3 linked regions of the Coturnix japonica genome follow. The protein of the gene in region 3 purifies or fractionates together with the protein of the main gene of each other region. This does not show direct contact. Links are inferred from orthologs where the notes say so. Each region holds a gene or a part of one and is shown on either strand. Other genes may lie near its edges.

Evidence for each region. The genes of interacting proteins can lie anywhere in the genome.
Region 1: the proteins of FHL2 (region 3) and CNOT1 purify together in Homo sapiens (affinity purification with mass spectrometry; 3 studies listed by BioGRID and IntAct, with this or other methods). This does not show direct contact. The link is inferred for Coturnix japonica from reciprocal best matches to the Homo sapiens genes FHL2 and CNOT1.
Region 2: the proteins of FHL2 (region 3) and EYA3 purify together in Homo sapiens (affinity purification with mass spectrometry; 3 studies listed by BioGRID and IntAct, with this or other methods). This does not show direct contact. The link is inferred for Coturnix japonica from reciprocal best matches to the Homo sapiens genes FHL2 and EYA3.

What each region holds. Positions count from the first base shown.
Region 1 is NC_029526.1:1,180,031-1,183,685, reverse strand, and holds part of CNOT1 (CCR4-NOT transcription complex subunit 1), read right to left. Parts: intron 3,597-3,655; coding exon 3,417-3,596; intron 2,964-3,416; exon of another isoform or gene 2,828-2,963; intron 2,439-2,827; coding exon 2,322-2,438; intron 2,035-2,321; coding exon 1,924-2,034; intron 1,297-1,923; coding exon 1,219-1,296; intron 913-1,218; coding exon 735-912; intron 264-734; coding exon 133-263; intron 1-132.
Region 2 is NC_029538.1:1,391,270-1,394,924, forward strand, and holds part of EYA3 (eyes absent homolog 3), read right to left. Parts: intron 2,519-3,655; coding exon 2,424-2,518; intron 425-2,423; coding exon 381-424; intron 1-380. UniProt on the Homo sapiens protein: Tyrosine phosphatase that specifically dephosphorylates 'Tyr-142' of histone H2AX (H2AXY142ph). 'Tyr-142' phosphorylation of histone H2AX plays a central role in DNA repair and acts as a mark that distinguishes between apoptotic and repair responses to genotoxic stress.
Region 3 is NC_029516.1:121,881,825-121,885,019, forward strand, and holds part of FHL2 (four and a half LIM domains protein 2), read right to left. Parts: intron 2,172-3,195; coding exon 1,997-2,171; intron 828-1,996; coding exon 658-827; intron 1-657. UniProt on the Homo sapiens protein: May function as a molecular transmitter linking various signaling pathways to transcriptional regulation. Negatively regulates the transcriptional repressor E4F1 and may function in cell growth.

The sequences.
Region 1 (3,655 bases), on a different chromosome or scaffold from region 3:
CTCACCCTCCCTATTAGAAGGAGAAGCAAAACTCCAAGAAATAGCTTTGAATTCTATAATGCCAAACCCACTAGCTAAGATCTGTGGCAATGTCAGCAGTAGGAGCACTTAGTAAACCAAATCAGCACTTACCGTTGGATTTAAGGTAATATGTGGAGCCAAACCTCCTAACGAATACACATTGATGTCATGATAACTGTACTGGGGCTGTGGAGGAACTGTGGCTGTACAAGTGGTGCTGGTAGCTGGAGTTGTAGAAGCAGCTGTAAGAATATAAAAATGCTTATTTTAACCATTAGGGAAAAGTGAGTGATTAAAATGGAAGCACGCACATCATTTAAGTGATGAGTTCTGACCATAATGCTTCCTTACAGGTACCCAGCTTTTTTCCCCCCACCTCCACAGTGTCTAGCACCAGGTTAACTTCAGGGCATTTTGGCAGCTGTTTGTTACAGCAGGGTTTGAACCCTGCTACAATCTCAATCTGTCTCCCAGCTTCACTCTCTTCTAAAGAGCAGTTACACACAGCACATGCAGAATTAGTCCGTGGGATGGCTTCCATTCCTCTCCCATCTCCTAATCCTGTTAACATCCTTCTATTACACCACTACTTTAGTGATTCTAAGCTTTCAGTAATGTTACAGCAGTGCAGATAGCTTCAAATTCTTCTCTACAAGCCTGTCTTTCTAAACTTCATACAGCACTGTTCTGAGTTTGATTTGAGGCATACTTACTGGTGGTTGTGATGGGTGGCAGCTCTTCTGGCTGCTTCACATCTTTCTTAGGAGCAGACAGCTGCTCATCCAGATTTTTCAGACGATCCTTATCTTTCAGGAGGCTCCCAGGTTTCAGCTCATTGATGTCCAGTGCAAGATTCTTGCAGAGCACTTCGATCTCAAACTTCAGATTCAACTGCACAACAATTTTAGTTTAGGTTATGTCACAAGGAAAAAAACCCAAACTGGCTGTTCTAAACCCAAGCTTCATGTTCTAACTCATGTTGTCTTTTCTTTTGCATAAGCAAGTGATGGTTAGACAAACAACCTGCACATTAACCTCACAGAAATCAAGACTCACCCACGCTCTTACTAAGTTAGCAATGCCCAGTTCCTCACACAATGAAGTGAGAAGTGAAATTTGGTCCCTCACAACATGTTTCTGACTGGTATTGTCAAGAAAACCTCAAGCTCAATAGGTACAGCAAAACAGAAAATTTACTTTTAGATCATGTTCTTGATGCAGCTCAGCTAAAACATTCATAATAGCCATTGTCCATGGGTTTGGAGGCCTGAAAACCTGCAAGAGAAAATGCAAAGCAGCATTACACAGTGGTCTGGAATGGTTTAGTTCCCTTAAGACTAATACATTTTGAAACTGAACCATTACATGCACATACAGACAGGGGAAACTGAAGTTTACACAGCTGCAGGCAAAGCTGCTTTTAGTATTGAGAGAAAGCAGATGAACAAGCAAGCTGAACGCCAAACTGGAAGCACAATTACTAGACCCTTCTGAGAGATCAGTTGCTTAGCCAAGCAGAGTTAAAGAGAGCTCATCAGAGACAAAACACGCATGTTGAGGGTGGAAGGAAATAAATCCACCCAAATAAGAAATAGATCCTAGAACCCCTCCAGTGGCATCCTTTTGTTTCTCAACAGAGGTCTGTGTCTGGGGATACTACAGTACAGTTCAGCCAACATCATCTGTTTAGGATGGACCCCCCCCCCCCAAAAAAAAAAAACAGAACAAAAAACCCAACCAGACAAGTACTTTATCTCAAAATGGAACTAACTTGAAGCCGTGATATCCCTTTACACCCCCCACTACACATGAAGTTCATTGGGTTTAATGAGAAGCACTACTTAATTTCTGCAATGCTTGTGTTGCCACTTGAGCAGTAACAGCCCCAATGTAGTCACTTACCACACTCCTGACACTGGATTCTAAGACTTTGGCAACAAATGGTACTACATAAAGCAATTCCTGCTGTCCCTTAACGTACGCTTCCAGTAGTAGTGACTTCACATCCAAATCCTGAAAAACACCATCAACAATTAAAAAGGGTAGGAAAGCAGAAAGAAAAAAACAAGACCACTGCAGAAATTCCATTGACATGTTATTTTCTTATAGGATATAATGGCAAAACAGAGTTTTACGGAATGCTAAAGAGTGATCTTGCATTTGAACAAAGATTCACAGATGGATATTTTGACGTAATATTACCCCCTTCATTTTGGTGATAGCATTTCCAAAACAGCCTATGCTGCTGAATAATACCACAGTAGTTTGCGTCAAGCAAGTCTGTGAAGACAGAAGCTTACTGTGTGCAAGATGGGCTTATTTTTAGCCAGTGTAATCATTCCCAGCCAGTGACCAAGGTTCTTCAACAAGGAACGGTCAGAGAAGTTGGCTGCAGCCTTATCTGATGTCAGTAGCACCTAATGGAAAAAAACAACTCAAGCAACAACTGGAAGATAAATCAGACACAACACCAAATCAAACAGCTGCTCTGACCTGAAGCAGAACACCAAGTTCTGAGCTCCAGTCCCATTACAGAGATAGTCAAGAGCAGCCTTTACCCTCAAGGTAGCATCCCACCAATCTGCCTTGTAATGACTTCAAAATTCCTTTACTTGGAGGGGATCAGAAAGGATTACGCCTTCCCAGAGCTTTCCAGTTACTGATAAGGCAGCTAGGCTACCCAGCAAAATGTAACTTGGGAAGACAATGCTTCTTAACACTTCATTGCAGACCAGAAGGCATTTCCTGGGAAACGATTTAATTCTTACTTCAAGACCTAAAACATGCTCTAGCATTCTACTATTAGCTTTGTCCCTTGGCTTCAGAGCAGCATCAGCCAAACAGAAGGCCAACCACACTCTAAAGAGCCAGGAGATTCTTTTGCACTACAGCGTAACCCACGGTGGCCAAGAAAATCCACCAACAGGTTTAAAAATAGTGCTTCCTTGACAGATTTGATTCACTCACTCACCTCATCAGGGCTATTTCTTCTTGACCTCTTCAGCATGCACGTTAATTTAGTCCTCTAATGATTTTTAGTTGTTACACTTCTGTTTACTCTAGCTCCCTATCCTCTATTTTTCAGCTAAAACAGCAGAGTGTGGTTCTCATCCTGATACTCTCCCACACAAACTAGACCACAAAGAAATTTTCCCTGCCGCAATTTGCAGGCCTCATACAAATATGGACTTAAATGCAGATATACCCTCTTAATCCTTTCTGACTGAAAACAAAACAATCCCAGTATTCATACAGTAAGATGTTAGCTTAAGCTGAAGTAGACTTTCCCAAGATACTCCATTTCTGAAGATAAGCAGCACAGGAAGAAAATGGCCTGAGAACAGCATACCTCTAAATGCTAAAACTTACCCAAGTATTAGAACTTGTGCACTCACCTTGATATTTCTGTAAGTCTCATTCAGAACCATTTTATTAAATTCTGGATTCTTAAGAGTGTCGAGGAAGTTTGAATATAAGCTGTGAAAATTTGGCTCAATACTGACTCTCTTCATCACGAGATACTGTGATACCCAAGGCATGAACTCTTCTTTCACTGTTTCCTTCAGTTCTTCAACCTGTCTCCATAGCAGAGAAAAAAGCACACCACAAAAAAGAACATGAGATGACAACCACA
Region 2 (3,655 bases), on a different chromosome or scaffold from region 3:
TTATCTTCCATCACTTACCACCTAGGAGAGCAGAGGCACTCCTAGGCTGGGCTCCTCTCACCTTATGCTGGCTGGAAGTGCAGCTTCCAGCAGATTCTAACATTTAGGTGGTGAATTTCACACTGTTTGCTCACTGCTTCTTGTCAAAGCATTCCCTTCATTATTATTTTTTTAATAATAATCTAACTACTAATATAACTCAGGTTTAATACCAAAGGGTTGCTTAATTTATTTTTCTTACAGCCAACACAAAACTGGGTTATATTTGTCCCATCTCTCTGACAAATACAGCAATATGCATGCTGCTAAAATGGAAGCTTATAATAATATAAGAGCACCAGTAATTGCTTCACACTAAAATAAAATTCAAAGTGACATACCTCAAGCTTTGCTCTCGGGATTCCTGCATCTTGGCTTTCTTCACCTGCAAGGACAGAAATGTTCAGAGGCACAACTAAAAAGAGCTGTCCTTGGCAGAATCAGCACACACTGACCTCCAGCAGGACATCACCAGTGGTTACTTTAGTTTGCATTAGTGTTGAAAAGAAAGCCTTGCATTGAACTGTACAGCTAACTAACAAGTTTTCATTAGAAAAAGAAGTTTCAAAGGGGAAAGGAAGGAAAGGGAAAAGGGTGGAAGACACAGCTTCTGCCTCAGGTCAGATCACCTCCACTCAGACTGATATTCATAGACCAATTTCTGAGTGGAAAGCACAACCCCCAACCAACCAGATGATGAGTTGCTGAAGCAAACACAACCAAAGCAATGGTAGCATTACTGCCTGTAGCAATGTTATGAAGAAAGGACTGTACACCAGTCAGGAATGTGGAGTTTAACCACCATCCCCGTGGCAATTTGAGTTGAGAAAAACCTTCAGCCCAAACACCTGACAGCCATTTTTCCTCTGTCTTTTCAGCAGCACTGCAGCCCTTCCCACCTCAGGGTTCTCCCCATCATTCACATTTACTGCCCAATATGAGAACTCCTTCCAAACAGATCAGCTCTGTGGGTGTCTGCAATGCACATAACACAAGTTCATCAGCCCTTGCAAAAAGACTTTTGTCACTTCCTGTCTTCCAGGATTAAATAAAATATCATAAGAATCAACTACATGTGTCCACAATGCATTCAACAAATAAGAGATTACTACAAGAAATCACTTGTAAAAGCCAAATAATAGCACTTCTTAAACTATTTTTGTCATGGAAAATGTCACTTTTGGTCACTTCTCTCTAAACTTTCCTTCACTTTTTTACTTCCCAAGTTTATATTTGGTTTCCAGCACTGAGTCTCACACAGACTTTTCCACTTTAAATTGAGATCTGAAAGGGGAAAAAGCATCTAAAAATAGGGACAAAAGTCTTGCCTGTTTAGCATCCCTGGCAGCAGAATGCACACTAAATGGAGGGAGTAAAACACATTTAACTCCAAGTGTGACGACTTCCCTACAGGCTCCAGATTCAGTCACCAACAGTTTGCAATGACCATTATTAGGAAAAGAAAAATCATTTGAGAAAGAAAACAAGTTTGTGCAGTATCAGTTCTGGGTGATAAAGCTGAAAAGATGATATCACATCATACAGCTTTGATCAGTATAGTCTCAAATTCTGCCTCAGAATGACTGAGCAGCAAAAGGTACCTAAATGAAATTAGATAGAAAACCTTCAGCAAACAATTAAAGAGTCTGCTTACAGGTAATGCTCTCATGTGCCAAAAACAAGCCGTGCTCCATCTCCTATGCCCTGAATAATAAAGGTTAATAAAGGTAATTTTGGCTAAGTAATGCTGTAATAACAGATATTTCCTTTCTTATTTTAGTTTAAATCCTGCAGACATCTAGACTTCCAATTCTGTTTCTGCTGATTAGCCTTGTGTTTTATGCACACACACTCATAATGATTTGCACGTTGTGTCAGAAAGCATAACTTAAATAATTTAACCTCATCGGTATTTTTAATGTGGCAGAATCACAGATATCTAGGAAGTCTGGACAGCAATTCCTATCTTAAGATACACCTACCTACATCAGTGCCCTGTTCAATTAAGGGTTGTAAATAATGCTCTCCAGCAATAGAGATGATGGCATGCTTAGGGTTGTGGAACCTTTTCAAGATCTTAGGCACAAGAATAACTAAAACTTATTTATAAGGTAACAGGCAGCATGCAGATTCTGTCATTAAAACAGTGATTTTTAATTTCTTCTAGGATTATAAATGGTCTGGTTTTCTCAGCAAAACAGATAATTACTAGGCATAATTTTACATAGAAGCACTACAGAGTTTAGGCACACATTCCTTTTATTACTGCTTTAATAAAGGACAGCCTTACTGCCCATTATTAAATACAATAACTGCATGCTGAGTTCGTGAGATCACTGATTAGTTTTACATGCCCACCTTGAGTATTATTTAAATGTACTTACTGGTTGCTCGGGTAAATCTTGTGGCTCTTCCATGGGTATTACTATTTTAATGCTTGAATGATTCAAATCGTGTCCTCCTCGGCAGTCTTCAAAGCCTGTCAAAAAAAGGTGTTCATAGCTTTATGTACTTTTGGGGGGACTTATCATTTAGGCTATCAGAGAATGGTAATTGTTATATATTCCACCCACAAGCTTTCTAAACTCGTGTTGCCATCTCGCAAGTAAGAGACAAAATTCATATACGGAAAGATTTCATAAACAAGGGATTTAGCTTTAAGCTTCAACTTACAGACATTTTTCATCACGTGGCACATTTCTACATCATTTGCTTGTACCATACTGACCACAGAAGCTAACGTGTCAATCAGACACGTGCACCATGATTTTAAAGACACTTTAAATGATCGAGTCTGGTCTACTAGGTCAGTAAACAGAGTGATTCAATCTAACCTGTTTTAATTTAGAACATTTATATAACAAACACACACACACACACAAAATCAGGACAAGAGCGTACGTGAATTTACATACAGCACTGCTTACTGTCAAGTTCACAAAGAAAGTTTATTATTCCAACTGCAGCCCTCAAAAAAGAGGTGTTTGATGAGCACCAAAAAGTTAACAGACAGTAACCCAGTCACATATTTAGCACAGAGTTCCTATATACTGCACCAAAAAGTTGCCATAGACCAGCATTCATTGACCATTGACCATATATTTTGACTTGGTCTTCTGGGATCCCCTCTTCCCAGAGCCCACTCAGCAAAGCTGGCCCCTACGTTGGCACCATTACAACTTTCACCCTCAGTTTTAACTGTTAACCATAGAGATAATACAGAAAACCCAAGACAGAAAAGAAGCTGCGTCATTCAAAGGTTATAACTACAGGTGTGGGATACAAATGCCAATAGCAGCGATGTTTGAATTTGCTATCACATCAGTCTGGTCCTGCTCCTTTGTCCTTTGATTTTACAGTTTCATTGCATACTTTCTTATTGAACTCCAAAACTGAACTGATCAGTATGGAAAAAACATCACTGTCACACTGCCTTCTAGAGAATCTATAGCTCCAGAAACAGCAGGTAGGGCAGAAAATGTCTCAGTGTTCTCACAGAGAAGCAAGCAGAACAACCAGAAGAAGCATCGTGCATTTCTGGGTGACAGGGATGTGCTTAAGCAGCACAGCTGGACTTGTGAGGAGTGACAGGGCTGTTCTTTAGCAAAGGTTTCCT
Region 3 (3,195 bases):
TCTGTATGAGGGCTGCTGTGAAAGTAATGCGAACTGGGGCACGTGGTGAACACAAAAGGAAGTTCTGGTAATCATAGAATCACAAGGTTGGAAAGGACCTATAAGATCATCTTGTCCAACTGTCCTCCCTTTACCATACCTACAGAAAACCCCTAAACCATATCTCCTAGCTCCCTATCCAGATGCTTCTTGAACACTGCCAGTGATGGCGACTCCACCAATGTGGGCGTAAGTGATGGCTGGAAGCTTATTTCTCTATCTTCAACTTCATTAGAATATTAAATAATAAAAAGTGTTAGCTCATCTCCCTTCCAGCTAAAACATTTGAGTGTGTGGTATATGATGGATTACATGGAGATAGGAGGTTATTCCAGTGCAGGCAGGTTTTTTATTGCTTGTTTTCTTTCTTAAACATGTCCTCTGTATGTTTTCAATACAAAGGGAACTTTAACCTTGGGTAAGAATTCTCAATGACATAACTTTTGTCCCTTGTGCAGAATAGGAGTTTCAACTCTATCATCTCTAAAACTCAATTGTCTTCCAATCTTTTAACACAGAAAAAAAAATATGGGATTTTTACTTTTTGTACATAGTTGTACTTTAAATGTGATGAAATTAAATCCCCAATATTATAGGTAAATAGATCAAAGGCAGTACCTTCTTGCACTGGACACACTGCATGGCAAACTGTTTTTCGTAGCAGGGAACACAAAAATTTTGATTGTCTTTAGGAATGAAACTCTTTGTCCCAATTGGTTGCTGGCAGCGGTAGCAGATAAAGCAGGTCTCGTGCCAGCTGTTGCCTTTGTATTCCATCTTCCGAGTACCTGTAATGAGACCAGAATGTAAGTAGAATTTATGGCTGATACTAATGCTTTTTGTAACTCTTGTTTACATGACAGCTGGCTGATGGAAAATAAATAGTGCAGCTATGAGGGAGTGGCTTTGCATGGAATTGGGTGTTGCTTTGAGTTTTTAGAGAGTAAGTGGTTTTCCTAAAAAGAAGAGAGGCATTTTCTGCTAACAATAAAAGCTTTGGTGACTTTTTAGAAGGCTGACATGATGTTAAGTGGTTAGAAGGCTGACAAGGTGATAAAGTATTGGCTAATTATGAAAAGTTGTAATAATTTGTCTCTGCAGGATGAAGTTTTACCATTCTCCCTTTGTCAAATATTAATTCTTCGTTTACTAGTAGCATAATTTTATTTTTTTTCTTTGGTCTCATTAAGTTCTGCCCAAAGGCATACTCCAATATATACATATTTTTAAAGGACCGACTTGTGCACCATTAACCATCTCTCTGCTTGTTTCTTACATGCTCAAGTGTTTGTGAGACATTTTATTAATGGACACCCTTTATGAATTGTGTGCACATGGTGCACACGAGTCAGTCCTCCAAGGAAGGACGTTCTGGGAAAAGATGGGGACACATTTTCTTGGGATTCTCTAGAATTGTATTTCCATGTTTTAAGCTAATCCCTATTTTCGGAATAGTGTTATCAGTAAAACACAAGGCATGGGGAATCCCGTTTGTTACCTGCTAGTTTGAAGCTGGTGGGAATTCAGTTTGCAGGACTGAAAGATCAAGCCTGTAATTACTTAGCATTTAATAAGCTTGTCATGAAAATGCTTTATTAAATCAAGGGTATATTGAGTAATCTGCTGAAAACCCTGTAGCTGCTGCAGAGGTTTTTAAAAATTGGTTTATTCTGTTTTGAATTGTAAGAGAAGAAGGGGATCTCTTAGTCACTGAATCTCAACTCCATTACTACCTATCAATCTGTAACTCAAATAATAGAGTTCTGTTCTGTAAATGAGCTCTTACGGGACTGAGTTCATTCTGAAAACTGGGTTCTGATTGCAGAAAGTATCACCAGCTGTGCTTTATGAAGTTCACCATGATTCAGCAGAGAAATTTAAGGTCACAATTGTTGCTGAGAGTAGGTTTGATATTAAACATGAACTTTCTTCTGCCCCAAACGTTAAGTATCCTAACCTGGCATAATTGTCTTCTTGCACTCATTACACTTTGATGAATATTCATTGGAGTAGCATTCAGTACAAAGTAGATGTTCCTCTTTTGCAGCAAAAGGTTTGTCCACCAATGAATTCTTGCACTGGAAGCAGTGGAAGCAGGTTTCATGCCAGTGGCGCTCCTTGTAAGACAGATCCTGCAGGAATTAAAAACCACAGAGTAAAGAGAATGAATAACTTGCTCAGTTCGAAGTTCAGAGAATGCAAACATGCAGATCTGAATCAGACAGAAATTAAGGCTAATTTGCATGGCACAGGAAAATAGCATGTTCTGATGCAGGTGAGTCTATTTTACCATGGCTGCCAAAAGTAGCTGATGACAACTATCAGTCCTCTTTCAATTCCAGGTCAGCTGAAATTCAATTTCGATTCAGCAGAGGAAGAAATAGTTTCATTTAGATATTTCCTTCGAGAATGAAGTCCTAGTTTTGATTCAGATTAGATTTTGTTAACTGTAGGGATATAATGTACTTCATATACTTTTCTCAGTTATTGCCAATTTCCAGGTCATTTCATAGTTTCTTCTTTCTGAGCATTTATCCTTTTTCCAGTCTCATATGGATGTTTTGCCAGGTTTAAACCAAGGTTGAAATTGGCCTGATGCTTTTTTTCTTTGTGTGCACGTTGAAATTAGTTTTTAACCAAGTCTTTGTTCTTAATTTTACGGATGTATGTTTCAAAAGAGAATTGGATGCCTTGATGGTGACTGAACACTCTGGGAGATGAGAGACCACAGTGTACCTGCAGCCACTGATCCAAAACACTCTTAACCAAGGAATTAACACCTTAGAGCACATAGGTGTTTAAAATATCTCCCCAGTGACGCTTGTATTAATTAAAACAAAATATAACAACAAAAAAAGACGCGTGTGAAAACCAGTCCTGTGACTTACAGGGATAGATCGTGTCTTTGCAAATGTTCCACAATTAGGCTACGTAGAGTTTTACCAGAGTCTTATGGAGACCAAAGTGGAGCTCAGATCATTACGAGTATCTGCCCATCTGCTAAACCTTTTGAAACAACCCAAATTTCTGACCATAAAATCTCAGACTTTCCTAAAAGCAAAATGAAAAATAAAAGTTTAAAACTTTTTAAACAATTGAGATGAAATTGATTCATCTAAATCTGTTCTAAGAGGGGAATAACTTTGTCAACAGAAA